Linked DNA regions of Struthio camelus. The protein of the gene in region 4 purifies or fractionates together with the protein of the main gene of each other region. This does not show direct contact. Links are inferred from orthologs where the notes say so. Each region holds a gene or a part of one and is shown on either strand. Other genes may lie near its edges.

The links.
Region 1: the proteins of STRAP (region 4) and TGFBR1 purify together in Homo sapiens (affinity purification with western blotting; 3 studies listed by BioGRID and IntAct, with this or other methods). This does not show direct contact. The link is inferred for Struthio camelus from reciprocal best matches to the Homo sapiens genes STRAP and TGFBR1.
Region 2: the proteins of STRAP (region 4) and SZRD1 purify together in Homo sapiens (co-immunoprecipitation; 3 studies listed by BioGRID and IntAct, counting the BioPlex papers as one, with this or other methods). This does not show direct contact. The link is inferred for Struthio camelus from reciprocal best matches to the Homo sapiens genes STRAP and SZRD1.
Region 3: the proteins of STRAP (region 4) and CSDE1 purify together in Homo sapiens (affinity purification with mass spectrometry; 3 studies listed by BioGRID and IntAct, counting the BioPlex papers as one, with this or other methods). This does not show direct contact. The link is inferred for Struthio camelus from reciprocal best matches to the Homo sapiens genes STRAP and CSDE1.

What each region holds. Positions count from the first base shown.
Region 1 is NC_090943.1:78,044,834-78,052,264, forward strand, and holds the start of TGFBR1 (TGF-beta receptor type-1), read right to left. Parts: upstream 3,020-7,431; 5' UTR 2,759-3,019; coding exon 2,683-2,758; intron 2,055-2,682; exon of another isoform or gene 1,522-2,054; intron 1-1,521. UniProt on the Homo sapiens protein: Transmembrane serine/threonine kinase forming with the TGF-beta type II serine/threonine kinase receptor, TGFBR2, the non-promiscuous receptor for the TGF-beta cytokines TGFB1, TGFB2 and TGFB3.
Region 2 is NC_090962.1:13,572,305-13,579,712, forward strand, and holds the start of SZRD1 (SUZ RNA-binding domain-containing), read right to left. Parts: upstream 3,015-7,408; 5' UTR 3,005-3,014; coding exon 2,849-3,004; intron 1-2,848.
Region 3 is NC_090965.1:10,109,198-10,116,933, forward strand, and holds the start of CSDE1 (cold shock domain-containing protein E1), read right to left. Parts: upstream 3,011-7,736; 5' UTR 2,867-3,010; intron 2,731-2,866; exon of another isoform or gene 2,338-2,730; intron 1-2,337. UniProt on the Homo sapiens protein: RNA-binding protein involved in translationally coupled mRNA turnover.
Region 4 is NC_090942.1:71,984,862-71,991,815, reverse strand, and holds the start of STRAP (serine-threonine kinase receptor-associated protein), read right to left. Parts: upstream 3,018-6,954; 5' UTR 3,003-3,017; coding exon 2,204-3,002; intron 987-2,203; coding exon 851-986; intron 22-850; coding exon 1-21. UniProt on the Homo sapiens protein: The SMN complex catalyzes the assembly of small nuclear ribonucleoproteins (snRNPs), the building blocks of the spliceosome, and thereby plays an important role in the splicing of cellular pre-mRNAs.

The DNA.
Region 1 (7,431 bases), on a different chromosome or scaffold from region 4:
GTAGCAATAAAACATTTGGAACGATCCTAGCTTAGAAAAAGTAATGTTATGTTCTTTGTAGTGTAGGTGCCGAATGGCACTATCTATTTTTGCAACTCAGAATTGTGCTCATGCCTCTACAGCAAAATACAATGTTAAAAATTTGTTTCTGGTGCTTTTCATGGAAGAGTATGTTTTAGAAAAACAAAAAAAAAGTTAGAATTAGAAACCTAGATCTTCCCCTTTGTTGTAATTTCACCATCTTTGTGAAAAAAGTAAAATGAAGAACTCTGTACTTTTAAATTGACTTAAGCATACAAATCAGGTTCACTCATTATCATAAATAAGAATGAATTGTGTGAACATATAGGATTTCCAGAGGGTGACCTCCCAGAATTTTGGCAAGATGAAAGACTATTTATGGTTCACAACAGTTAACCCCCCAACCCCTACACACACACGCGCAAAAATCACACTCTGCCTTAAAAGTTAGGGCTGGCTGACAGTAGTTCAACTAGCTGCTGTGATCTGCGACATTTCTGACCTCCACATTAGTGATATCATGAGAGGATTCATTCCTGCACTAATGCTAGCATCAGAAATTATCAGAAAACGCCCAACTTCTGTCAACCCACGATAAGAACACTAAGTAACAGTACACAAAGGATGTGTTGCACCACTACTTTGTCAACTTGGACCACAACGTTCAGGGAAAATAATCCCATTCCCAATTTCAGAGAACTTGTCTATGAGCTAAGGACTAAGGATCCCAGACTATAATAATGGGGATATTAAGAAGGCAGCGGGGGGGGGGGGGGGAAGAGCACCACACCCACACACCACTTCCATCCTTTAGCTTCTCTATGGAAAATTATTTTAGCCTTGGAAATCTGGTCTTGTTCCCAAATAAAACTCTTAGACACTGCTTTCATAACTGAAATTAAATGAAAATTCTCGATTGTTCAAAGGCATTAAACAGGAAAAGAAAGGCTCAGAGCTCAAATCAAGGTAAAGTTTCCCTCAATATCTAAATTTAATATTGAAAGCTTTAAATTATTGAAGGCTGATGCATCTTTTCAAGTGTATACACAGTAATTTAAGCTTACTTCACTGCTTCCATTTCAAAAATTCTCCATCTTCTTCAATAAGGATATGGGCGATTAATATGGTATTTTAGTATTGCAAGTTACATTTTGCCTTAGGTAACATTTTCTTTGCAGCACAATTACTAACTTAAAGTGAAACGTAAGCAGCATAGTAAGAACCAGATTGAGGCATGTCTTAAAGCTATAGTTGAAAAAAGTCAGAGTACATCTCCTTCTCCTCTTTAAAACCCAGAGCAATAGGCATGCCACCTATAGAAGAATTTGTAAGAGTGGCACTTGCTATAAAAAACAGCTTTTGTACATCTATTGGCATCATCTAATATATACAGAAGATGTTGAAACCTAAATCAGTTAAAGTAAGGCATTATGTATCATTTAAGTCTCATTACCACATATGACCCTACTGCTAAGTGAAGAACAAAATATGCTTTTTTTTAAAAAAATCACTTTAGTTTTTCATTCCTGAGTGTCATTAACAACCTCCGTTTCATGCGTTACCTATCCAACGGTACAGCTCTGATATCATCTCTCTCTTACAAGAGAGCAATAGGTGTGGAGTGGCCAGAGGGCCATAAGTATTTTATGCACGATACTCACTTAAGACCATTTCCCCGTGTTCTGGGCCTCTCGGAGCACAGCGGTCAGCTGTTCAACTACAACACCGAGATCACCTACCCAAATCGTCACCAGTTCTCAGAACTGGCACAGCGGCAGCACGCCACAAGGCGCGTTAGCTTCCCTAAAGCATCCAGCCCGGGACGTGGGAGAGCCTTTCCCCTGCCCTGCGCGGAGCGTTCAACACGTAGCTAGCTGCCCGCACTGCTCTCTCGGCGCCCTCCCCGCCGTACCGCCTGCGAGCGCCCGCTAACACGCCGCGAGGAGCCCGCCAGGCCCAGCAGCTTTCCCCTCGCCCGCTGAGGGAGCCACAGGCAGACAGAAGTTTTCCGAAGGAGACACCATCCCCAAGCGGTTAGTTTGTACAGTCTGCTCCGCTCCAGCCACAAAACAGCAGTGACCTCAAGGGAGGGAGGGGTGCGCTCCGCGCTACCTTGGCGGGCCACAGCGGCTCGCCCCCTGGGGGGGAAGGGGCGGCCGGGGTCCGCCACAGGGAGCGGAGCCAGCGCGGAAGCCGGCCGGGGTGGGGGGTGAGGGGGCAGGCTGTCCCGGGGAGACGCCGCTCGGGGCGCTGCTCTCCGCGGGGCAAGGCAGGCGCCGGCGCGGGGCAGAGGCTGCTCTCCCGAGGCCGCGGCGGGTGCCTCGTCCGTCCCTCGCCGCCCCCTCAGCGCGAACCGCCGCCGCCTCTCCTCGCCCCGCCGCATCACGTCTGCCCCGAGCCGCGGCCCCGCCCTCCCTCGGAGCCGCCGCTGCCCTCGGCCAACAAAGGGACGCGCCGTCCCCGGGCTCTGCCCGGCTCGGACACCGGGCGGGGTGGGGGGGGGGGGTGCAGAGGGGGCGACTCCGCCCCAACCGGCCCCTCCGCCATATTGTTGAAAGGAACCGACGGGGACCCGCAGACCACCGCCGCTCTCCGCCCCGCCGGCGCCACCTCCCGCGCTTCCCCCCTCCTCGGCCTCCCCGCGCGCACACATGCACTCACCGGCCGCCGCGGGGAAGAGCAGCGCGGCCACCAGGCACCGCAGGGCCCAGGGCCGCCGAGTGGCCGTTAACGCCATGGTCCGGTCCCGAACCCGCAGAGCGAGGGCGCGCGCGCGCGCGCACCCGCGCGCCAGGATTCCGCCTCGCGACTCCCGCCCCGCCCCGCCCCCCGCGACAGAAACGGAGAGAAGCGCGCGCACCGCCTGCACCTCCCCGCCTGGCCGCGGCCGCTCGTGCAACCGACACAGGGGCTCCGCCTGATTGGCCGCTCCCGACAGCCCCGCCCCGCCCCGCCCCGCCGGCAGCTGCCGGGCGCCCGAACAACAACAGCAGCCGAGGAGCGCGAGGGGCGGGGCGAGGGGCGGGGCCTGGGGCATTCCCCCCCCCTCTCCCCCGCGGCGGCCTGTGCGACACAGCGAGGATCCTGGCGTGGGGGAGGCCGGCGCCCCCCAGGCCCCACGGTTACCTTCACACATTCCCCCCCCTCCCCCGCACCTTTTTGGGTTTCGGGCGTGTGGCAGGGCCAGAGGACGGGCGCTCTGGCCCCCTGCCGCGGCCGGGTGGCCCACCCGCCCCGGGGTCCCCGCAGCCCCCTGCCTCCTTTACCAGGGCCTCAGCCAGAGGCCTGCGGGGCCCGCCTGCGCTTCGGGACTGCTTTTGTTGCTGGGCTTCCTTGCGCCGTGGCCCTCCAGTCGTAGGGCAGGTGACATGTCGCCCACAGGTGTTTTTTTTTTTTTTTTTCCACGTGTTACCTGCAAGTCACCCTTTTTGACGCATTTTCAGCAAGTTTTCGCAAGCTTCGCGCGCCGCCCCAGGAGTTCAGGCCTGGCCTCCACCGGACTGCGGCTTCCCAGTCCGCAGCGCCCAGGGCGGCTGCCACCGTCCTCCCCGGCGCTGCCTTTCGCCTCCTTGTCACGCTGATTTACCGGCTGTTTTATCTGCGGTTGTTTAGCTGACACAACCTTTATAAAAAGTCTCATTTCTCTTACATTCTCTCATCTGCATAAGGATCCTGTTAATATAACGGTTCAAAATGAGGTAAATATTTATTAATTCATTCTTTTCCACCTTCTCTCCTAGCAACCATCAGCATCGTATATGAACAGCCTCTAGTGACATTTTTTTTTTTTGCTGAGCAAAATACTATTTTACTTTAAATATCCTTAGCGACAGTTAGTATTAGACCAAACATCTGGATTTGATACAGATTCATGCCATAATTAAATATTGAAGTTGGCAATACCAAGTGAACACATTCTTAGTTATTCAGGTATAGAAATACGTAAAGGCCTAATCCTCAAGTGAAATGATATTCTAGCATCAGTAAGACAGTAAGATAGCATCCTGAACGATGTTTGGCTGCCAGACAAAGAAAGAATAAAGTAACTCGCAGGTGACAGCTCACCAGCCAAGATGGTTTCAAGTCTCTTGCAAGCAGTGAAAAGTGCCAGCACAAACTAAATACTTTTACCAGGCATCACCATTCTTTCAGAACAGAAGATCCCTATTGAAGAGACACCTACAGTTCTGCCATCCCTTATCCCGATCCCTGGGTGCATATCTGTGATCTTGGGAGCCAGGGTAAACTCAGGGCAAAAACAGCAACTGCAAAGGTCCTCGAAGAGCTTCTCGGGGCTCTTCTGGGAATCATGCCTTGCCTCACCTGCCGTACTTCTGCTCCATGCAGGACTGGAGGACTCTGTCTTTATGAGGGTCACGTGAGGGGTGCTTAGCATTGCCTTCTGTGTGGCGTAGTAGATTATGTTTGATAATCTGTTTGATAGTGAATCTGTCTTCTTTGCTATATAAGACAGAGCAGTTGGATGAAGAAAAAAAATGAAATACAAATGACAGCCTGAGAAGATTTAAGTCGTCAGCTTTTTCCCCCTGTATCTGCAAACAGTCGAATGCCGATCCACAGAAAATCAGGAGAACTTATGAACATACCTGGTTACATTCATCCTTAAATATGCTAGTTAGGCAGATGAGGCTAGCTCGTGTTTTAGATATTCACATAGCATACTCCTTGCGAAAATGGAACAATGAAAAAGTTTCAATCCAAAGGACAAAATAGTGAAGGCTGTGCTTGGGTGTCTCTTAAGACACTGGCTTACAGCAGATCTGAGGCAAAACTGACATTATGCTACAGAACTCAGATCCTCACCATGGCACCCTGCAAGTTGTGCTCAGCTCGGTTCCAACCTCAGACATTGCCATTACTAGCTTCTCATCAGCTTGAGCCTTTAATTAGGAAAAAAGGAGCTCCCAACATTCTGCTTACGATTAATGTACTTGGAGTTTCCTGCTCCCCTAGTGCTGGCCTTAACAATTGGACTTCCCAAATTCATTGCTTACCCCAGTTCAGTTTTCCTACAGACTGAAAAAGCTCATTCCCAAATTGAGAGGATAATTTAACACCCTTTCAACGTAAGGAAATCTGACACAGCAAACGGCCTCCAAGATATGCCCTTGTGTAAAATGATATTTTATTCAAGAAGAAAATAGCTCTTCTGCAATTTCATATTTTTCAAAACGACGGTAACTGCTTGGCCTTTTTCTGCCAAAATAACATGAAAAAGATTGATTTCACTGAACAAATTTTTCAAGTCTGATAGAAAGCAACTCCTCACCTTTGTGTATTTATGATACTTTAACCAGGTACAGTAAGTGTTTGTGCTGCAGCATTGTCTTGCAAGGGAATCCTTCAGACCACTTCTTGTCTACTTTAGCCCATCTTTGTTCTCCAGGTGCTTCCTGAGAATGGAAACAACGTTGTAATCAGTGGAAAGATATTAAGAAGAACAAGCAAGAAGCAGTCATATCACCTCGCCTTATTTATGTCATAATTCATTGAATTTCCCCCATTCTGGTTATAGAAAGGCGCAAAAAATTTCATCATTTGCTAATGCATAGAACACAATGCAAAAAAACATAGAAAATCCAAATTATCTGGCCTTATGAGATCTGTTTAGATCATTAAAAAAGACTGAGTCTATTTAAAAAAATATTTACTTTTTTGATTAGGTAGAGCGGGCTATTTTACAGGGAATATCTGCAGTTTAAACACAGGTTCATTACTAATTTCTGAACTGGAATATGGCATTTAGAGGCATTATATAAAATATGCAGCTCCCACAGGGAGGGAGATGAAAGAATTGAGGTTTGCTTAGTGCTAGCTTTATTTCTTGTAATAATTATTGTCAGTTTTTGAGTGGGTTTTATGATTGCTTTCTAGAAGATGGAAAGCAAAACACTGCAGACTGCATGGAGGGTTCAAACAAAACTCTGTAGTGCAAGAAAAACACCTACTAAGAAACTACATGGATCATTAAAGTATAACCAATTTTGCAAAGGGACAAATGATGAGATAGATAATTATACAAAACATAAAATTTTCTCATAAATTTTTAGTCTTCAATTAAGATCAAGGATATGAAATTCCTTGTTTTATATGCTGATTTACTTAAGAACACAGGCACTAATAAATAAAATCTCTCTTAGCTTTTAAAGTGAAAGATTATGGCCGTAAGGTAGGAAATATTATTAATGATGATCAGTAAAAGCTCTATTTGTGTTTCAATGTAAGAGATATTTAGGCTAATAAAGCAAAGAATTCTGAAAACATCTGAACAGTAATATAATGAAACTATCTTTCAGCGATAAATATGCACAGTTAGTCCTAGTGCAAGAGGAAGTACAAATATTGCAAAGCTGCATTTGTAGAATTCTTATCACAGTTTTCTCTCCGTGATAATAAGTGAAATTTTATGTGCTTTTTTAACTACTAGTCAGTGTATCATGATATTTACAAATTATGTTCATCAGGGAACTCGGCAAGAGAAAAATACCAAATGTGTCATTTACCAAACTAACAGAATACGTCATTTTCAAAAATAAAAATTTCAGGTGGTGCTTGATTTTGCTGATCAGTTTTACTCAAGTCAGGACAGAAGGGACTAAGGTGTTCATTATCATGCCTTTTCTACGAGCACACAAATCAGGAAGTTTAGCACAGATCTGTGATGCTACTAAATCATAAAAAGGCAAAAGAAAATAATTTGTTGAAGTCACTGGTTTATAAAATATCTAGAATTATTCAATTCATATCATTTATAAGCAGTGCCTGATTTACCTTATCAGTGCCTCAAAAACAAAATACAGGAGGATCTTAATTAACAGAAGGTCAGTTAAACCTTAAGTCATATGAAACCTTTTTCCTTTTAATTTATAGTCTGTGAAACACATCCGACAGAGGTATCTCAGAGGTATTAATTGGGCAGCCCAGCAATACGCCACCTCGCTGCGCAGCTGTTTGGTCCCTGCAGCTAACAAGCTCCTTATTCTACTGCTAAGAGGTTTGTGGATATATTAGTGTTGTAAGTTCTTAGTCTGCAATTAAGCAGATTGCTGTAATGACAGTTTTGCTCTGCAGCTATTAAACCTCTCAAACATAATCTTTCTTTCTAGCTTCTAGAGTCCATTAGCCTCAAAGCTTGTTTCCTACACATACAGCATTCAACCTCATTTGAAATCAGATATGAATGGATTTAAAGAAAATGGTGTTGACTGTAACTCATTAAAGAGTGGTAATATCAAAAACTCCTGTGTTAAGTCAGGCTCAGGAGTTTTGCTTTTGCCATTAACACTGCCAGTAGTAGGTTACTGCTTTAATTTATGCTAAAAGCAGGGAAGGAGAAGCATATAGCCTAAGACACGTTACCAAACACAGAAGTGACTAAGAAGACTGGTT
Region 2 (7,408 bases), on a different chromosome or scaffold from region 4:
CACACGGTAATTCTGATGACTCGGAAAACTAAAAGACAAAGAGGAGCTGCATAAAAGAAAAAAAAAAAGTGTTTAAGTGGCTGTATTACAGCTACTTCACTGATCAAGTCCAAAGCCAAAGATCTGCGTCCGTTTTGTCTGGGCTTTCCCCTTCAAAGCTCACTGGCTTTCCCTCTACCTGGTAAGATCTTAGTATTGCCCGTTTCAAAAGGGAAGGATCTGCAATAGCTAAACGAAGCGATGTTAGCACAAGGAGGCCACGGTATCTCTAGTCAGCCCAGAACCGCCTCTTGCCAAGGCTACCTTCTGAAAGCGCTATACCAAGATCTAGAGCGAAAGTTAGTAACCTAACAGCAAAATAGCCACCAAAAAGGGAAAGATCAGCACCCAAATTCTTGGCATCCTTTCTGTTCTAAGGAACGCCCTTTGGACGGCATATAAAAAAAAATTACATGCCAAGAAACAGGGAAAATATCTCAAAATCCCACCATTCAGAAGCCCTCCACAGACCTGTTTCATTACACGTCTATTTCCTCAGTGATTAAAGGTCGACATTATAATCTTTTGTGGGCCCAACTCCATGCAACATAAGTGACAAGTATCAGCTGAAGAGTCAATAGCATGTACTTCACCAAGATGCAACTGGAAAGTATTACGTGTATGTGCTTGAAGGGGCTATAAAATAACAACTCTTCAGGTTTACATTCCTGACTGCGTGAAGTATTCAAACACGAATAAGCATTTAAAGCTGCTGCTTAATGTTTGTTATGTTTAATGCTTCATTGGATATTCCTATTCAATACTGAATGGGAATGTTGTCATGTCTCATGCCTTTAACTTGGGATTTGTCCTGTGCCACCCCAGAGGGCAATTCGTAACCCAAGGCTAACAAGATACGGGTGGAAGAAAACGAAGAACACTCCTTAAGACCGTAACTATTGTGATCACAGGATCAGGCCAGTTCATAAGCTTTTTCTGCACATAGTTTTTCCTCTCACGCTTCCAGCGGATCGGTCTCGTTAAAGCACTTCCCTGCATCTACAGCAGGTTTTCTCACAAGGAAAAGCAAGGGTGCTTGAAATAATGTTTCAACTAGCAAGCAAGCAAGGCAGCCATGCTGCCTGCTCTGCATCTAAGCCTCTTCCTGTACTTTCTTCCTCTTTCTCTTTTCTGAAACAGTCTACCCCAGCAGCTTTGATTCCTGTAGTAGCTCAGAGATCCAACGTGCACTGGCATCAATCTGGTTCAAGAAAAACATCGGACAAGATCAGGTTCTCCTCTCCTTGTTCGTTCCAGTTAGCTTGTAACTTCCTGTGGCCACGAGCAGCAGCAGAGGGTCTCTTTCCTGCAAGTCACTGCTTGAGAATGACCTTCCTGAAGTCTCCTGGTGATGGTTGCCAGATCTAACCTGAAAGCAGGTTCCATGTCTCCTCTTACGTAACAGTAATGCCGACTAGAGACAAGCAGGTTTTTTGTTCCCACTGCTTTTACAGACATGCAAAGCCTGGACAACTGTAAAAGCAGCTGCAAGCATGGTGTCAGCGCCTCAAGACATCTCTCTGTTCTCCCCTAAGCAGCACAAACACTGCTGAATTTATGAATGCAAAGGCTCAGCAGTTCGGACGTGCTGGGAAAGGACTTTACAAAGGCTAGACAACCGAGATATTTCCCCACAAGTGTTTTAAAAGACCATCAAAAGGTGCAAGCTGAAAGGACAAAAGGGAAAAGACAACTGATGCCTCAGATTTGAACAGCCCTACAGTTTTAAGCTATTACTCAAGGCCACAGCTATCATCAACTCCCGAGACACAAGTTATGTCCCTTCATGGAACGCTTTAATGAGCGCTGGAATTAACTCCACCGCCCTGCGCAAGACTTCCCATTACTGCAGTATCACAGCGTTGGCAGGGTACGCAGCGAGGGCTTTCCTTACCCTGCCAGCCTTCGACTGGCATCTCGCACGCAGCTGGGGGAGGGCATTGAATTACGAGCTCTATTTTGCTAACGTCTTTCCCACAAGCGGTAACCCAATCTCCTGCAGCACAGCACTGACCAGAGTCAAATTCGGTCTTCTTGCACAGCAATTGTTATAAAGTCCTTCTGCCCTCCGCTCACTAAAGGGCCCACGTAGGTTATTAAAACAGCGACCCGTCTCACACAGTTCCCTTCCTCGTGCAGTTGTGAATACCCCGCCGATCATCCACCTACGCTGCTGCCAAAATAAGGATTTCATTTCGCATGGGAAACACGTATAAGCGTGCTTCAGAGCCTCTCAGCGCGACAGACAGGTGGAAAACTTAAGCTATTAAGCCAGCTATTAAAAGGAAGTTCAGCTAGAAAACTGAAAGCTATAGCTGGCCGCGCGAAAATCACCCCCGTTTTGCCTTAAAAAGAGATTAAGGAGGGACCACAGCCAGGCATAGCGACACAGAGAAAGGGCTTCTGCCTCGCGGACTCCCAGCTGTAGGCCACGAAACGCAGCCCACGCACCGGCCGCGGGGGGGGCCCCCCCGGCGCCTGCCCCTCGCCGGGCTCGCGTGGGGCCGGCAGCGCGCCTGCGCCTCGGCCCCAGGCCCTCCGCAGCGAGCCCGCGGCGGAGGGGTGGGGGGGGGGGGTGCGGGCAGCCGCCCAGAGCCGAGGGGCCGCCTCGCAGCGCGGGTGGGCGCCGGGGGGACGCGCGTGGGAGGAGCGGCCCCACGCGGACGGAGGCCGCGGCCCCTTTAAGAGGCCTAGCAGGCGCTCAGGGGCTGGCGCCGCCGCCCGGGCCCTCCTCAGACGGCGCCCCGCCGCCGCCGCCGCTCCCCGCCGCCGCCACCGCCGCCCCGCAGCGCCCGCCGGCCGCCCTTACCCCGCTGTCGGCCGCCTCCTCCCAGCTCTCAGCGACCTCCTCATCTTCCATTTTAATTCTCCTCCGCCGCCGCCGCCGCCAGCCCGCGCCCCGCGCATGCGCGCGGCCCCCGGCGCCTGCGCCGCCGCCGCCTACCAGCGCGCCCTCCGCGCGCATGCGCAGCGCGCAGGGCGGGGACGGTGGGAGGGTGGCGCGCGCACGCGCGCTGGGCCGCTGCGGGCGGCCACGTGCGGCGGTGAGGGGCGCGGGAGGCAGCGCGCTCGCCCCCTGCCGGGAGGGCGGACCCGGGACACGCGGGTCCTGGGGCACCAACGTGCTGCCCGCATGCGACACGCGTGTCCTGGGACACGCACGTGCTGCCTACATGTGACACGCGTGTCTCAGGACACCCACGAGCTGCCTACATGCGACACACGTGTCCTGGGACACCCACGTGCTGCTGACATGGGACACGTGTCTCAGGACACCCACATGCTGACTACATGTGACACGTGTCCTGGGACACCCATGTGCTGCCCACATGTGACACACATGTCCTGGGACACCCACATGCTGACTACATGCGACACACGTGTCCTGGGACACCCACATGCTGCTGACATGGGGCACCCATGTCTCAGGACACCCACGTGCTGACTACATGTGACACGTGTCCTGGGACACCCATGTGCTGCCCACATGTCACACGTGTCCTGGGACACCCACGTGCTGACTACATGGGACACGTGTCCTGGGACACCCATTTGCTGCCTCCATGCGACACGCGTGTCCCGGGACACCCACGTGCTGCCAGCATGTGACACGTGTCCCAGGACACCCATGTGCTGCCAGCATGCGACACAAATGTCCTGAGGTACCCACGTGCTGCCTCCATGTGACACACATGTCCTGGGGCACCCACGTGCTGCCCGCACGTGATACACGAGTCCTAGGACATCCATGTGCTGCCCGCATGTGACACGCATGTCCTGGGACACCCACGTGCTGCCTCCATGCGACACAAGTGTCCTGGGGCACCCACGTGCTGCCTCCATGCGACACGTGCCTGTGATCTGGCCAGCTTTGGCCTTAACTGAGAAATTCAGGGCCAAGACTGAAAGGAAAATGCTTGCATTCTGAACACGTCCTAAGTGAAGGGATAATAACTCAGAAAATGCTGCTATCTTCCGGCTGCATCGGCACGATTGTCAGCAACAAGATAACTTTAGGGACTGGCCCTGCTGCACATCAACCTCAGGAAAAAGAAACGGGGCAGTAAGCTCAAGCAATAGCGTTTCACGCCTAAATACCCAGAGCAGCACTTAGACACCTCTTACAGCCTGTTGTGTAAACCCCAGTGAGACTCAACGGGGCATAAATCGCCACCGCACCACCTGCATGCGGGTGAAACGTACCATCCCAAGCAAAATAACAAGTAACTGAAGATAAACTTTGTTCAGAGCCGCGTTCCCTCTGTGCTGGGGTTACTGCTTTCAGGATAACAAGCTCTCTCGGAGCTGGGTGCGGAAGCAAGGTTGGCACCGAGGCTTGATCCAGAAGTGGAGGCATTATCTGAGGTGCCTCAGCTCTGCCAGGACGTTAACCGAAACCGTTTAACCCTCGCGGCTTAAAACTGTGAGACATTAACTCGCAACTCTGCAGCATTCAGAACACCCTGCAATGGGGGGGGGGGGGAAATGAAAGGCAGGGCAGGGCGTGGGGGGGAAAGGTCATTCCTGCCCAGGTGCCTCCAAATCCCAGCAAAGCCAGGATGAACTCAACTCAGGTTTCAGACAGGCTGGCCCTAGAGGCAGGCAGGCGTGAGTTTATCTGGGCATTTGGCAGAAATTTGAGGGCCTCTCCGTGTGTCTTTCTATCATCTTCATTCGTATCACTTTTCAGCTAAGCTTTTTGGTGTTTGAAACTACCTTCCTCTTACCTCTCCCTAAGAGAGAGGAGGGATAACTTCTGCTCGACCCTTCGGAATAGATCTCCCAAAAGAAAAGCTCACTTACTGGGTTTCTCTCTTTTGTATCTGGGATAGCTGTCAAGCCGACACATTAGCCTGAGGTTTGAAAAGCGAAAGACTGCTGGGGCGAGATCCACTGGGAGCAAATCCAGAATTCAACGCCTCCCGTACGACTCCTTCTGGCATCCTGAAAAAGCAAAACATTCAGGCAGGCAGTTAGAGAAACTGAATTTTCTGCATGCGACCCCAACACTGAAGCCAGGAGTCGCAGCTTTCCAGCAGATGGCGACCGGCTTCCTTAAAAACTCCAGCGAAAAGCAGGCAAATCCTCACCGCTCGCCCTGAGCCTTCCCATCCCAGAGGGCCGCTGGGGCGAGCAGCATGGGCAGGCAACCTCACGTGCGTCCCCTGGGCGGGTTTCGGTATTTCTACCCGCAAACCTCCCTCGGAGAGAACCGGCGGGGCACCGGACGGGCCCTCATCCCGCTAATTTCGCCTATGCCGTGCCAAATCCCCGTCCCGGCACCCCCAGCTCCTCCGTAGCCTGTTTCTGGCCCCTGAGGCGCTCGTTAGCCCCCTTCCCCCGGACGAGCAGCGACGCCCCGAAACGTAAAGCCCCTCGGCGCCGCTCCCGGGATCGGGGCCCCTCGGGCCCGGCTGCCCGGCGGCTGAGGTGACGGGCCGCGGCTCCCCGTCGGAAGCGGGCCCGGCGCTCCACGGCCTGCGGAGTTACCGCTGCAGCTCGGCCGGCCCGTCGCCGCCGCGGGGGAGGGGGGGCGAAGCGGGGCTGTGAGGGGCCCGGCCGGCTGCGGGCAGGCCGGCCGACCGACGAGGGCAGGCCGCGACGAGGCCTGCGGGGAGGCCGCGAAGGAGAAGGAGCCGCCCTGCCACCTTCCCGCCACCGCCGACCTCCCCAACATGGCGCCCGCCCGCCCCTCTCAGCATGGCGGCGGTGGTAGTTGGGGGGGGGGAGGGAGGGGACACCAAACGCACCGCCCAACACTACCACGCAAGACCTTCCCAACATGGCGTCAGGCTTAGGGGACGGGGGGAGGGCTTGACCTTCCCATCATGGCGCGCTGGCCCCACCTGACGACACACAGCCCCGCCCCCACCGCGCTCATGTGACGCGGGGCTGGCCGGCGCGTGCGCAGTGGGGGCTGGCTGCCGCGGCCGGAGCGGCGGGGACGCGGCCGCTGAGGCGAGGGAAGATGGCGGCGCCGGCGCGGGCCGTCACCCGGGCGACGGGGCGGCCCCGGCGCCCGCGGCCCTGAGCGGCGGCGGGGGGGCGGCCGCCGGCAGGTGAGGAGCGGCCCCCGGGCCGGGCCGGGCTCCCCCGGGCGGCGGGGACGGCGGTTGGGGGCCCTGTGGGGGGGTCGCTTCCCGCTGGGGCCCCCATGTCGTCGTCGTCGTCCCCCCCCCCGCCCCGGTTCCCGGTCTCCGGTAGCTGCGCGGCGGCCGGAGGGTAGAGCTGCCTCCTCGCCTCGGCCTCGTTGTGTGCTGAGGAGAGGCCGGCTCCCGGGGGGCCCCTCTGGGGACCCTTGGGTGGGGGGGACAGACCTACCGAAAAACAAACCAAAAAAAAATCCCCCCCCCTCAAAAAAAGCCTAAAAAACGCATTTCGCTCTGGAAAGCTGGGGAGGCAGCAGTGGATTTCAGGTAACGCCAAAGCCTGCGTCCACGGGAGTTACCTGCCTTTTACGCTAAGCCTGGTATCATGCTATGCTACGGCTGGCAACGCCATGCACCGTTTTTTCGTGTCTCAGGGCAAAAATGAGTCTCGGTGGGATTTCCCGGTGTGCTGGATAACTTTGAATTCACATCTCGACTTAAGATCTGTATTTGCATGCTTCCCCCGGTGTGATTTCTTTTTTGTTGTTGTCCTGAGAGCAGTGTGTTAAATCAGTAGTGTTGGTCAGCCTGGTGTTGATCCGCCCAGTGTGGGTTGGGGGTATTGCTTTATGTTATCCTGGCAATGGTGTAAGAATGGCTTTTTTTGGTCACAGCTGGGCTGCGTGGAAGTGTTGAACAGACTAGCGCTACTGCAGAGCTCGCTGCCATGCATAGGTCTCGCTCCAGGAGCGTTACCGTCTGCTGTAAGCAAGGTGCAGCCCAAACCTCTCTGGAACGATGTCTCTTGCCTCAAACCTTTTTGGGTTTTCAAATCTGAGCGTATATACCACAGGCGTTTCTCTCCTGTGCTCCGAGAGCAAGCATATCGCCCTTGGTATCTTGCACTTAATCCAAACTCGAATCTGTGCTAGGAGGAAGAACAAAAGACAAGTCAGGCAAAGCCTTATTAAACTGAAATGCTTGTCTGTGGTGTAGTGAATCAGTTCATTAGGGGGACTGCTTTTTCTCTGTAGGATAACCTAGTCAATTGGCGGGGATGCTGTTTGTGTTAAAATGGCTTTAAATATCGTTAGGGAGACTTGTTTATACTGCAGGTCAGCAGCTGGAACAGCCTTGCACAAGAAATGCTGTAAATATGTATGTGGACAGAGATAGCTTTGATCTTGGTAGAAGTCACCATCCCCTTTTCTAAAGGGGACGTGTATTAGCTTAAGACGCGTTTCACTTGCAATGCCGCTGACCTCAATTTGGGATATGAG
Region 3 (7,736 bases), on a different chromosome or scaffold from region 4:
TTCAGTGACTTCTCATCCATGTGAAACATATTCCTTCAGTCATCACACAGAACACCCTCATCCAGTTTCTCAATTAATCTCATTTGTTGATGTGTAGTGGTCTGACAAGAAAACCCATTTCAAGCCAAAGGCTGAGGCTTTTTGTCTTTGAGCTGTAACCTTTTTCATCCATATAGTTTGTTTCACACCAGTTTCCTTAACATTAAGCCATATCAGTAAAACAAGTCCACACCTCCCTATACGATTGATAGTCCAAAAAAAAAAAAAAAATCAAAAAACAAAAGAAGAAAACAACAAGGAAAACACTACTTTCATAATATTTCTTAAAATAGTCCTAATAAAACCATACTTTCCACAGTGAAAAATTTTGATGAAAGCGTTCTTCTTTTCACAATCAAATCAGAACAGGATCAACTTAACAAGCAAGTCTATCAAATGTTCATTTTACCCACAGCAGGCTTAACAATTATCAGTCTAACAAACATTAAAGGTGACTTAAACACAGCATTTCCCAGAAATATCACATATGAGTTCAGCTTGCTTCCTTCTTCCCCATACCAAACAAATCTGGTACGAGATGCTTGTAGAGAAAGATTCAATTATAAAAAACATAAATCAGAAAACTCAAAGCTCTCACAAAAATACATGTCCCACTAGATTTTTCACATACCTCCTTGAAAGATACAGGCAACCCTTATAACAATCTCTTTCAGAACAGTATCATGTTTTGGACAGCATTTTGTAGAGCAAATGAGCTGCCCCTCCCATGAAGTTCAAGAGGAGTGAAGCAGGCACACACTGCATCACAGGAACAGCACAGAGACATTTAGAACCTTTTATTCAAGTATTTGCCTCATCTAATTAGTCCAAGATGATCGGAACTCTACTGGAACAGTAACATAATTCATACTAGACATTCAAAAATGTCATATACCTTTGGCTAGCCACAGAACATAACCCAGACATCTCTTCTACCCAAAGATGCCTAAAGCTGCTTTAATCGGGTAATGGAATAAAGCATAAGCTTTCACCTTAAAAGCTTGGTTTGATTTGATCACATGATTGGTTTACTACTACTGTCATTAAAAAGAAAAAAGGGGGTGGGGGTATCAAGCAAGTATAACTCCAGTAAAATCAGCGTGCATCTGCCTCAAATTCTTTACTTTTTAATTCAGCTACTATAAATACTCCTCCAAATGGTAAACAGCCTGAGCAGCTGCCCAGCCCCCAAGTATCGCTGGCCTCTCTGCATTTGTATATTTACAGCTGAAAGGATTAATGCAAAGACAGTGAAGAGAGAAAGGTGCACAAGTCCTCTTCTTGAAGTCTTGAATTTTATTAAACAGTGACAGGTTGTCACATAAGCATGTTTTCTGCTTGAAATCACCTACACAGCCTATTGGGAGAACCTGCCAAACTACAGCCACTTTTTTGTTTCTCGCTTTCTTCAAAAGAACAGGTATGCAACTGTAAGAATACATATTTTACACAACTAAAACGTGTTTCTAGAATTAGCCATCTTCTAAGTGATTAAGATCAAGTTCAATAAAGATTAAGCACTGTATTTTCAGCATGCACAACACTGCTACGAGATGACATCTGGAGATTAACTTACTCCACAATTTTTCAGAGGAGCCTCTTGAACATCAGAAAGAATACTAACTCCTGAACGCCCCGATCAAAACATAACAGCAGTGAGGTCAGCTGTCAACATTCACTGAATTAGGTATGTCAATTCTAGGTCAAAAAACGCAGCTACAGAAAAATCATTATAGACTTCGACAGACATCTGCCTAACGCATATATCCATTTAGGATCAGCAATGGATGTAAACAGCAAAAACAAAGGAGCGTTTTCTGTGAAGGGGTCGGCAGTCGGGAAGAGCCTGGCGCTCGTTGTCCACCCAGACAACAGAGAAACAGGCCCGAACCGACGGAGCCGCCCAGAGCGGCCGGCCGGCAGCGGAGCAGGCCCTGCGCACTGCGCTGCCGCAAGATGGTGGCCGCGGCGCGGGCGGCGCCGAGGGGCGGCGCCAGGACCCCAGCCCGGCGCAGGCCGCGCGCCGCCGCGCTGTGACAGCGGAAAGGGGCCGCGCTGCGCCGCTTCCCGGCCCAGGGGAAGGGCAGGCGCCGAGGAGCGAGGCGCCGCCCGTCGCCCTCCCCACACACAAAGGGGGGCGATGGCGGCCGCGCCCCCGCACACAAAGGGACGGGGGCCTCGTCCCCGCGAGGGCGGGCCTGCGCGCGCGGCCTGCCGGGAGCCGCGGTCCACCTACCCCCCCCCCCCCGCCGCCTCCGCCACCGCCCAGCTCCGGCCCCGCGAGCCCCCGCACCCCGTCCTCGCACGGCGCCTGCCGGGACCCGTAGTCCCCTCGACACGACCGGCAGCAAGGCCGGCGCCTCTCGGCCTGCAGGCCCCAGCAAGCCCCGCGGCCGAGCGGACCGCGCGGCACGCCGGGAAAGCGAGTTCCGGCGCCGCCCCAGCCCCGCCTAAACTGACAGGCGGGACTTCAGCTCCCAAGAGTCCCTGCGGCGGGGCGTCCGCCCGCGGGACGCCGGGAAACGTAGTTCGCACGCCGCGACGGCCGACTGACTCGCAACTACCAGTATTCCCTCCCGAGGAGCAGCGGCCTACCAGGCCGGCGCCCCGCCGGCCACCCGACCGCCTCGCCCCGCGCAGCCGGGGAAAGTGGACAGGCAGCTTACCCCGCCGAGACCGCTGGGACAACAGGTACGGGGGATACAGATTCGGAGGCTCCCTCTACCTCTACTACCGCCCCCTAAGGACCCCCAGGACACCCTAGTGTGCGCGGGCACCGTCTCCACAGCGGCAGGCGTCCTCGCCACCCGCCGCGAGCCGTACTCACCCCAACAGCTCAGCGCCCCCGCTCCAGCGCCGCCATGAGCAGCACGGCACAGCACGTAGGAATAAATCCCGGCCTCTCGCGAGAGCCTCGGGGTGGAGCCGCGCGTGCGCCGAGGTGCCGCCGCGGGGTGCTCAGCGCGCATGCGCGCCTGGCCGTTGGCCAATGGAGCGACAGGCGCGTGCCAGTGCCCCCCCCGCGCTGTGCGGCCGAGCGCCGCGCGCCCAACGGGCGCCGCCGCCGCCGCGCGCGCGGAGCCGTTACTGCCTCCGCCGCGCGCGCCTCCCCCGCGGCCGCACAATGGCCGCGCGCGCGCCCCGCTTCTCGCCGCCGCCCCGGGCCACAGGGAGGGGCGGCCGCGCATTTCCACCTCATCCCACGCCCCGGCGCGACGAGGCAACGTCGGGAGGTGCTTTGTACTTGGATTTCAAGGACAGAAGCAGCCGCGTTCTCTACAGTGAAGTGTCCAACTTTCAGCACGAGGGGAGGAGGTTCTTCTGAAAACCCCCTCCAGGGTCACACACCCTCGGATATCTACCGTCACCGATTCCATAGTTACAGAGGGGAGTAGAGTAACAAATTAACACATTTAAACCTCCTCCTCCTTTCTCCTGCTAATTTATAATGAACTCTCTAATCAGCTGCTTCTGTTTCCCATTTTTAGGTTTGCACAGCATTTGGCCTATCAGAAGAAAGTGTAAATGCACTGGCACAGACAGCTCAGATTATGTTAACTGAAAAGAAATACAATGACCAAAAGCGTTTCATTGCAGTACATACATTCAAGGACTATGGCAAAAAGCAGAGTGGGTGACAAAGGCTTCCGGCACAGGCAGAACAGACTGAATTATCAGCAGGATTCATAAAACTGAACACGCTTGAGAAAATAATTGTCCATGCTTATTTTTATTCCCTATTAAGAAATAATTTAAAGTAGAAAATGATTTTATATAAGGATAGTCCTGTACAGAAAACCCTCATCTCTACCAGACGATCTCTCTGGGTGTTCCAGATGGTGGCAAAGAAATGTCTCTTAATTCTCTTTGTGTCTTAGGCACAAGACCTAAATCACCTTCTGCATCTATAAAATTCTCACTTGGAAAAAATGGCATAACAATTTAAACTAATGCTGGGAATGAGGGCCTTGCTGTTCCTGAAGGATTATCCTTTGATCACTAATAAGACAGACAGACAAATCTTTTATTAAAAAAAGTCATTAAAAATACCACAATATTGACAAATTCTTAGACATTGCAACTCTAATTTAACTCAATACAGGATTTTACAATAACTACACAACATCTGTCACTAGACTTACCTGTGATATAACATTAAAAACAGGTCTATTTGGTTGGTTTTGGCTTAATGTTTTTGAGCCAGACCTGAGCTCACCCTTCCTGAAGCCCAAAGTAGTGGGAAGCCAGACAGCTTTGATCTGGAAGTGCTGTGTTCTCCGCAGGGCTTACTCTATTGGCTTGAGAGCAGTGCCTCAGATCAGAGCTATCCAAAATCCACACACCTTGCAGCACAGGTAGAGCCAGAATAGGTCTACCCATTAAAAAAGAAAGAAAGAAAGAAAACAAGAACACTAGGCAGACACGCTACATTGACACGTGGAAGTGTGAGAAAGGGCTATTCATTCTGATTTTCCCCTCTAAATCAAGGCAAAGTATGCCCCTTATATGAAGTTATTCAGGGAAGTGCACAATTGATTACCTGCTCTTCTCTTGATCTGCTTCTAGAAAGTTGTCTGTTTCCCAGTAAGAATGTTAACCCAACCGAATGCTGTTTGTGTTAGGTATTCAAAGGAAAACAAAATGTGTGCCTGCCATGTACAATATAATTTTCAAATAATCTCTTATTGTTTTTGTCAAATAAAATAATTTAAGTGCTGTCTGCATAGTTGGCATTCTTAACTGAAGCTGATCCAAAACAACATTTATGAGAGAAAATAAACTATCACAAGGGAGTAGGTCATCATAAACACTTCATTGTTAAGCATTTGTATGCTGCAATTACTAAGACCGAGCAGCAAAGCAAGCCTTTGCCATCAGAGCGTCTACTTTCAGAAAAATGCAGAGAAAACAGGCTGCACATTTCTGAAGATAAAACAGACATACAAGGAAACACCTGAAAGAACAAAACACAAACCATCCTTCCTTGTAGGGTGGATTCCTCGTATTCTCAGAAGTTAAAATTTGGAAATAGGGTTATTTTGTGACCTGAGCTTCACTGTCAGGCAGATCTTCTTTCCTCACGTCAACAGATTCTTTACTGATTGACAAAAGTTCACGGAGCTCTTTGTTTTCAAGCTGCAAAATCAATATTTTTGCTGAAATAAAAATGACCTCATTCACAATTAAAGGACTATCATCTTTAATAGCTACACTCATTGACAACTAAATAAAACACTGATATTGTAAATTTAGGAGTAATGCAGCACTAGCAAGAGGGGACCCAAATCATTTAAAGCATATCTTTTACTTCTGGTTTTATATATAATAAGAAACGAACATCAACTACTTAGAAGAAGCAGATAATTTTCCTTATTCCCACCCCCCCATTTTTGAATGTTATAAATCCTTGGCATATACATAGACAACCCAAGCATCTCTTTCTGATTCTCTTTTCTATCAATGGACAAAGAAAAAAATATTTTAGGATAAGTCTAGAAATTCAAAAAATCTAGATCTACTGTTAGCAATTATACCACTTCTTACCTCCAACTGAGCTAGTTTCTCTTGAACTTTAAAGAACTGATGATCATCGACTTGAATAGCTTTTCTCATCACTTCTCCCATCTCATATATTCTGTCTATTTGTTCTTCAATTTCCTGAAAGACATAAAAGCAATGTATTCAATATGTTCAAGCAAAAGCAGTAGTATATTATCCAAGTAAACCTATTAAAAATCGATTACTTTTAATTTTCTTTATTTTTGGACTAGTTTCCTATTTTGAATTGTAATCTTCTCCTTCAAAACACTTGCAATCCTTTCCAAGTTGTACATTATTTAAAGATGAGAACATGAACCTTTTCTTCATCTGTCATGAAACATCAATGAAAAGTCTAACAGAATTGGATCAGTCAGCAAGATATAAGGCATTGTTACACAGTAATAGAGAAATTGTTGCAAGTGTGACAACGACTAAGACAACAGATTCCGGTTCATGTGATGCAATCAGTATACATATAGCTTTAGAAATAAGAAAAGCCTGACTCAGAACTTATAAAAGCAAATACACAATATAAAAGCAAATTATATTTCATAATTAAATACAAACATGAAGTAAACAACCTCATTTCAGAAGGAAGGCAAACAAAAGGAAGCCAAGCAAGGAAAAAAATAAACAAACCCAAAGCCTCCTGGGGCAGTTTTAACAGAATCTATCTAGATACAGCTCTAATCCTTCAGAAGATGCATTTTAAGAGTTGAACCTCAGAACCCCTGAAAATTCCCTGCATATAGTGTAGCATTACTTCCTGTTTGAAGAGCATTTGAGTTCAAAATATAAATTCAGGTAGGAACTTGAATGTATAAATAAAAAAAAATGTTGACAGCTGGCAAGAAGGAAATAGCGAGAAGTGGATTTGGAAGCCTTCTGAACTGTCATTTTAGCGTAACATACAAATATGAGGCTATCATAAGGCACTTTTGGGGAATAAGTATCTGAAGGGGGAGTGCCAAGAGGATGAGGCCAGCCTCTTCTCCGTGGTGCCCAGCAACAGGACAAGAGGCAATGGGCAGAAACTGAACCACAGGAAGTTCCATCTGAACCTGAGAAAAAAATTCTTCACTGTGAGGGTGACTGAGCATTGGAACAGGTTGCCCAGAGAGGTAGTGGAGTCTCCTTCCCTGGAGATTTTCAAAACCCGTCTGGATGTGATCCTGGGCAATATGCTCTAGGTGACCCTGCTTGAGCAGGGAGGTTGGACTAGATGATCTCCAGAGGTCCCTTCCAACCTAAACGATTCTGTGATTCTGTGAATATCAGATAAACGTAATAGGGTAGGTTCCTTTTAAATACATGTCAGTAATTACTCTGCTCTGCCTTTGGAAGGGAAGTGCATCATCTGGGCAGTAGATCCAGTTTTGAATTCCATTATTTAGAAAAGATGTAAACAAATTAAAGCATCTAGGAGAGAGCAGGAGGAACAAGAAAGGCTTAGAAAATTTAATCCAGGAAGAAAGAATGATTTTTTTTTTTCTAAAGAGAGAGACAGTTTCAGTAAGAATGTAACTCTTTAAAAGATATTAAAAGGTTGTTACTGTTCTCCACCTGTTGGGTACAAGGGATGGACTTAATTTGAAATACAAAAGATTCTGGCTAGATATTGAAATAATCTATGTATATTCATTCCATCTTGGAGTTAGAGAATGTACTAGGTTCCTCTGGGGTCTTTTCAGCTGCATGTTCCTATGCTATTACAATGAAGCAAAAGCAGTGCCAGAGAACAACGTTAGAAATTTTGTTCAAATGACAAATCTTGATAGACAGAGCAATTCCTGTAAATAAGCACTGGAAACAAGACATTTTTACATTACTAGGAGAGAAGGAACAAAAAAATATATACTTCTGAAGACCTGAACAACACAAAGCGGCAATGAACGTTATCAGTATAAAGACTTAGGATGGTTCCCGTTCTAATTAAGAATACAGAATAAGAGATCTGATGAGGTCGAACAAGCTTGCTATTTCTAATCACAGATAAACATATATTTTAACATACTCCTAACTTCAGCTGTAAGGGATAATCAAATTTCTAATGTTATTATATTATTTTTAGACACTGAAATATAAAGCAGGCAGCAGTCATCAGGATGCACATCTCAGCTGATGTCACTACACCTGACATGGATGAAGGCACACTT
Region 4 (6,954 bases):
GACACAGCATCCCATACTTTGCTAAATGACAAGAGAAAACATTTAAATTTTGTAGCACTGAGACAAATCAACCTGGAAGTCAGATCAGCTTGTAAACAACTTTGTCCTAAGTACTACATTCTGATAAGTAATAACCCAGTTAGCCAGTAAGAATACTTTATATGCTTTTATTAATGTTTTTTTTGCACTATCCTGCTATTTTAATTTCCCCTCTTCAAGATAATGCAGAATTATTATTATTTCAGTTTTACAGATAAACAAGTGCAGCTGTCCTCTGTGACTTCATATAAAGTGCCCTCTACTAACAGGATTCGAATTACCAAACGTTAATACACACTACAGACAGTAAAGAAAATAAATAAATAAATTTCTGCAATAGTTTTCTAGAATTCTTGATATATTCTTAAACCTTGAAATGGTGGCTATTATGAATTCTACGATGCTATGAAAACGTTGGTATCACTGAGCTTATTTGCCCCAGCTATAAGCAACAGAAAACAAGTAATAAAAAGTGATAACTAGGAGGAGCAAAACAAAAATCACTCTTTCAACTCTGATTTTAGCACTCTACCATGCTAAAGATTAGAGCTGGAAATAAAACGTTATTCCGGCAGACTACTATGGTAATTAAGTGTTGTGATCAAGAAGCAATCAAAGTTATCCAAAAAAAATTAACTGTAGCTATACTTTCAACAGTCTAGAGTTCTAGATCTTAATTTAGCTATTCATAAACGAGCTTAATAATTTACTGAACAGATATATCAATAACTTATAACAACTATGTCACTAAAAATATCATTGACTGAAAAATCAAAACAGAGTGAGACTTCAAAAGCAGATAATCACTTACGCTGTAAAATCAGCTGCTGCTGTAGCTGCTTTAGTGGCATCCTTGTTCAAAGTAGCACCCCAAACAGCACCTTTATGACCTAGAAACGTTCCAATCCAGTCTCCTGTGTCGCCCTGACGTAGCATAGGCTTACCATCTTCACAGAAACAAAACCAATATTCAGATAATGTTATCAAACAAAACGATACTACCTTTAAGAAGACTCCTTTACACCAACATGGAATAAAAAAGAAATTGCCACCAGACATCTCCCTTCAGGGAAATAGCATGTATTTTTATGATGCTATTTTTTGAAAAAGAGTTTAGCTAAAGAGCTTAGATATGCAGCCGCACCTACCATGAACATCTAGAATTCTATACAGACCTTAAAATACTATTGCAAAGTAAATATAAAACTTCTTTGGGTTTTCAAGGAAGAAAAGGGATAAAGAAGGAGAAAGGAGCATTTAGCTTTGGTTTTACTCCAGTTTTCCTCTACAGGCAGAAGAGCTCTTTTGTTTTTAGAAAAAAATTTTCAGACTAGCATTGCCCAAAAAGGAGTCTTATGTTTATATGTTCAAAATATAGAGAGAAAATGAAATGGAATTAGAAAATCTTTCTTATGGTTATTTTTTTCTGGGAGGCTATAAAAAAAAGTTGCACCCAGGAGAAGAAATAAATCTGACTAGGAAGCACTCCAACGCTGGGAGGGAGATCATGAATACATACATAGATTAATATTCACATGTATGAAGTCAAAATACTATTCTCATAATGAGCAGAGGAAAGTTCTCATGCTAAAGGAAAGTGGCATCACCATTCTACATCCACCCTGACAGCCACCGTGATTTAAAAAAAGAAACTTCAATTTAAGATGTACAATACACGTGTGCAGAAGGTAAAAACAGGCTAGTTCGGAAACAAAATTTTGTAAGAAGTTTCACTTTTTTTTTTCTTTTTTTTTTTTTTTTAATTTTTACAGTTTCGACCCGAACCGAATAAACTCTCAAAGCGCACAGGTTAAACTGGCAACGCCACTGCCAGCTGTCAAGGCTCTTTCTCACTCGATAACGCTGAAACCGGGTATTATCGTGAGACCGCCAGCGTCTCGCTAGGTGACCCGGGCACCCCAGCCCGACCATCCGCCGCTAATACCGGCCGCTCGGCTCACCTAAGGCGGCCTCCTGCCCGCGCTCCCGCTTCCCTAAGTAGCGCCCCCCCACCACCACCAACACACACACCCACCCCTTCCAGGGGCGAGGGACCACCCCCACCTCACCTGCCCGCCGCCGAGGATGAACAAAGGGGCCGCCGCCGCCCCTGGCGGCGCTCCCCGCCGCCCCCGCTCCCACCCTCGCCCCCGCCGGGCCTCACCCTTGCAGGCGCTGATGAGGAAGTAGCCGTAAGGGGTGATGCCGCTGAAGGCCAGGTCCACCACGGGCCGCGTGTGCCCCGAGCACGTCAGCGGGGTCTGCCTCATCGCCATGGCTGCGGCGGCGGCGGCGGTTGGGGGCGCGGAGCGGCGGTTGGGGGCGCGGGCGGCTGGAAAGGTGGGTGGGGGCGGGGCGCGCGCGCGCAGGGACACGAGCCCCCTCCGGCCGGGCAGGAAACGGCGACCGGGGCGGCGGGGGAAATGACGCAGCGGAAACGCTTCAGGCCGGAAACTACGTCGGCGGGCGGGTGCGGAGCCGGAAGCGGCAGTGCGGGGGGCGGGCGGCGGTCCGTTGCGCAGGCGCGGCGAGCCCGCCCTGAGGGGAGGGGGGCTGCCTGCGGCCTTTATCCCCTTACAGTTACTCCTCTGTGCCGCCGCTGGTGCTCCTCCGCTCCGCTCGGGCTCCTGCAGCAGCAGCAAATCAACGCTGCCAAAAAGAAACGCAGTGTTTTGCGGTTGGTCTCGATCCCAGCACGGCCGGCTGCAGGGCCGCGTAGGCCTTGCGTGCAGAGGAAGAGGTGGGGAGACGCGGAAAATGGGGAGCCCAGAATACCCCGCAGCGCCCGTCTGGCCTTGCATAAAATGCAAGGCGGCCACGCTGATGGGATTGTTTCCCCAAGAAGCGTCTGAAGATGTTACCTGAAGCTGAAGGAGCCTGCCAGCCTTATCTGAAAACACTCTGTCAACAGACTGAAAACTTAGACTAGTACGGCACTGTACCCCTTCTTGACAGGAGCGCATAGGCTGTCATTCATCTCCCTTTTTAAGTGTTAAAACTGGGAGTAACGTTTAAATTGTCAGCAGGTAGGTGAAGCTGACATAACTCCAGTCTTCTGCTGTTTCTCTTTAAAGGATAGGGAGCGTGTTTCATTTTCTGACCTCCTGATGTTTCAGCTCAGGATAGGCACTGCATTTTGCTTTCTGACCTCCTGATGTTTCAACTTTCCTGAGTTCTCACAAGGAATTGCTAATAAGCCACATTCTGCCTAGAGCAGCATATTTAAATGTACTTTTTAACTTACTTTATTTACTTACTTTTTTTTTACTTCATTTACTGTAAGCAAAAAGCTTACAGGGCTCTTGAATATTAAAATTTTGAGTAGCTAAATTTCATTTAATTAGGTTTTTCAAAGGCTAATATAAATGTAGAAGTATGTCTCCTAGTTAGCTATTCTGCTTGGATTTATATTTTAAAAAACACTGTTCTGGTAACTTACTATATAAATTTTTCAGTGAAGGGGTTAGCCAACTGTCAGTAAAGATACAAAAGAACATTAAGAAAACACTTACCTACTTAAAACTCAGTATTGAGGATCCTGACATGTGCTTAGGGCAGTTTCTTTTTAATAATTTTGTTGCTTGGATTAATTTAGTCTTCTGTAAAATTGGAGTGTGTTTTTTGTCCTACACAAAGCAACAGTATGATATCCAGGTAGAGAGATACTTGTAAGAGACAGATAAGGCAAAAATGTTTGCAGTTCGATGAAGGCAGATGCAAATCAAAAAAGGAGATAAACAATTGAGATGTGAAACCAATAATATCCAATCTGAACTGAAAATCTTACTAGACCCAACAAACCTATGACTACATTCTTAAAATCCTAAAAACAGAAAATTAGTTAATACTATGTGTGAAGTTTTCCATACGCTGCAGGAACGTGAACATTCTAGTAGGGAACATGATGGGTGTCACTAAAGCCAAATCCCTAAACAGGGATTTTTGACACCTAATGCAGGACTTAGGCAGAACTTAGGCACCATGCTGTTAACTGCTGTTTCATTCTGAGGAAATTTTGTTTTATCGGATAGAAACCTGTATATTGATTGTATGCTATCAACTACTGCTCAGTTTTATAAAAGTTATAAATCAGTTGGTCCATGCACTTAGTATAAACACGTAGATGATCACATAAGCACTGATCCCACATGGTGCCTGTATTTACAGTACCTAATTACAGCATTAGGTACTTGATTGATTCCCAGGTAAACCACAGCCTTGTGCTTCCCTATAGGTCCCAACCACACTCTTTTGCCTTCTTTCCAACCACTGGATGCTCTATACTGTACCAGATAGTGGCTTCCAGAAAGTAACTGGCTTTTGCCTTCCACACTGAAGATATTTCCATTCCTACTACAGTAAAAATACAGCTTGCATTTTATAGTTTCATTTCCTTCTAAGGATTTCAAATTTTCATGTAATCAAAAAACTAGAGAGTTGTATACAAACTTCAGAGTGCTGTGCAGCTGCTATTAGATATGATATTGACATTGTTTAGCTGTTTAGACCAGCAAGTGGACAAAACTACTAAAACACAGGGAGCTTAAATAAGCAAAAAATAAATTATCAATATGGTTAAAGTGGGAGAGACATCAACATAAGGAAAACTATCAAAAACGTGAAACATGGCCACATAGCTGGACAAGATCTATACCTTAAAGATCTCAGGTATGGGAATTTCCTTGTCTCTTAACCTTTAGAGTCCAGATTTAATAGTGATATAGAAGGATATTACTTTTAAAGGTACAGTTGTGGGAAGCACCTTTATTATCTCTGGGAAACATGATTAAGGACATATGGAAATAATAGTGAAAAGAAAGGTATTTACATGTTTTCTTAAATCAAGACTTTAATACCTAGACCTAATAATACCCGTAGCATAATAATTAAAAATCTCCAGAGTTTACCCTAGGCCTAACTCAGGTTATACCTTGCATGGCATACTTTAGTAAGCGAGTTTATTCAGCAGCGGTCTCGCACTTTTTCCTTCCTGTCTTCCAGGGTACATTCTGTATCTCTATCCCAATTCCAATACAGAATTTTTTATACCACATTTCTCAAGCTGAGCATGAGGAGGGGAAAATACTACCACGGATCGTGTTTGGATTTGAGGAAGGAGAAACATACTGCCATGGTGCCACTGCAACTGGAATGAGAGAATGTGTCCAGGAGGAAGCGTTTCAAGCAGGAACAGGAGCAAAGTGAGAAGGGAAAAGGCAGAATATGCTCTGAGCAGGAACAAGAGGAAATGCTGAACCAATCCAGCACTGTTGGAGGCTCTTGCTGAGGAAAAATATCCTAATTTAGTCATGCCTATCAGCTGTGCTTTCTCTGCTTGTGCTTGGAGCGGTCATTTTCCTCTGACGGAGCCTGACAGCCTTTGGCCTTAGCTATATTCGCTTTGGCTTCACCCCCACCATTGCCTTCCTCTTAGCTACCTAGTAAAATCCCTATTTAGATGTGCTTATTCCCCTCAGTTTGAAAATCTTTAATTTAGAGATGCACTAATTCTGTACACCCAAGCGAGACTACTTCTACTAAGGAGATGGTTAGAGAAGCTGGGAACTGTGAAACAGTCATTCAGTTTTTCAAAAAAGAATAGAGAAAAAGAAGCAAAGGTAGGAGAAGGAGTTACTTACTAATGAAAGAAAGCCTAGCAAGCAGGAAATAAAAATATTGAGGGTTTTTGATTTTTTTCAGCCAAGGGGATTATATATCGAATAGTGTTACAAAGCAAAAAAAAAAAAAATTGCAAAAAAATTTTTATTCAAAGTTTCATGTTTATTTATCTATTTATTATCCAAATAACTGTCTTGGGGAGTTATCTAAAGTAAATATTCATCAACCCCAACTTCATTCAGGAAGTAATCAGGATCTTGTAATTATACAGATTAATCCCCATTACTGAACAGAATAACAAGTATGTCAGTCATAGATTATAAAGCACCTGGGCAAAACTCGCTTTCACTTATCATTTATAATTCAGAGTGTCTGCTTGATTAAACAACATCTTTCCACAGCCAGTGATTGAATTTTCTCAGAAATTGTTACTGAACATGAATAAAGCTATCCTAGTGAAAGGTCACGATTCTAGTGCTTTGATTAAAATGAGTCACGCAGAGATTGAATTAAGTAGAGAGTGTTTAGTATACATATTTACATTTCAGAGATGTCTTCCGCCCATGCTAGACACTGTTGTTGAAAATGTCTTCTCTTGCCACTAAGTGGAGCTCCTTACATATCTATTAGTGTATTAGCAATTCTGGATGGTAGTGAGATGACATGTTGATGCTTATTTCAGCTTCTGTGTAGCCACTTTGTTGACACAGTACTAAGGAAGTTACTAGATGCTTAGTTCTCTGAAATGAATTGTGCTAAACAGGGAAATGGAAATTTACCTGTGCCACTAGAGAAGGCAACAGGGCAGCCATTTGTTAGAGGACTTTGAATCTAAGCTATTCTAATATATTGCAGATTTAAAACATTCATTTTGATCTGTAGGCATCTTTATCTCTGTTAACAAAGTTTTTCTTTGGAGAAATATACCTTAGTAATTTGTACAGCTAATTTATGGCGAAAAAAAAGGATTTACTCTTTGTGGAAGGATACTGCGTTACGGATGCTGTGTGCAGATATGAGAGCAATTGCAGAGCCTGTCGCTGTGTTTTCACTGGGGGGATAATTAAAATTGAGTGCCAGCCTTGAGCAGTCAATTATCACTGAGTAACCAGATGAAAGATAAAGAGCAGATGTAATCATATTTCACAAGTAATGGAACAGTGTGTGTTTGAAGTCAAGTAGTCCTGCCTATTATCAGTCTTTCACAGCAGGTGGCCATACGGTTTCTAGTTTCGTATAAGTTCTTTTAACATAGGTCTAGGGAAGGTGAGGGCTGGGCCACAGAAGCTCTTCTGT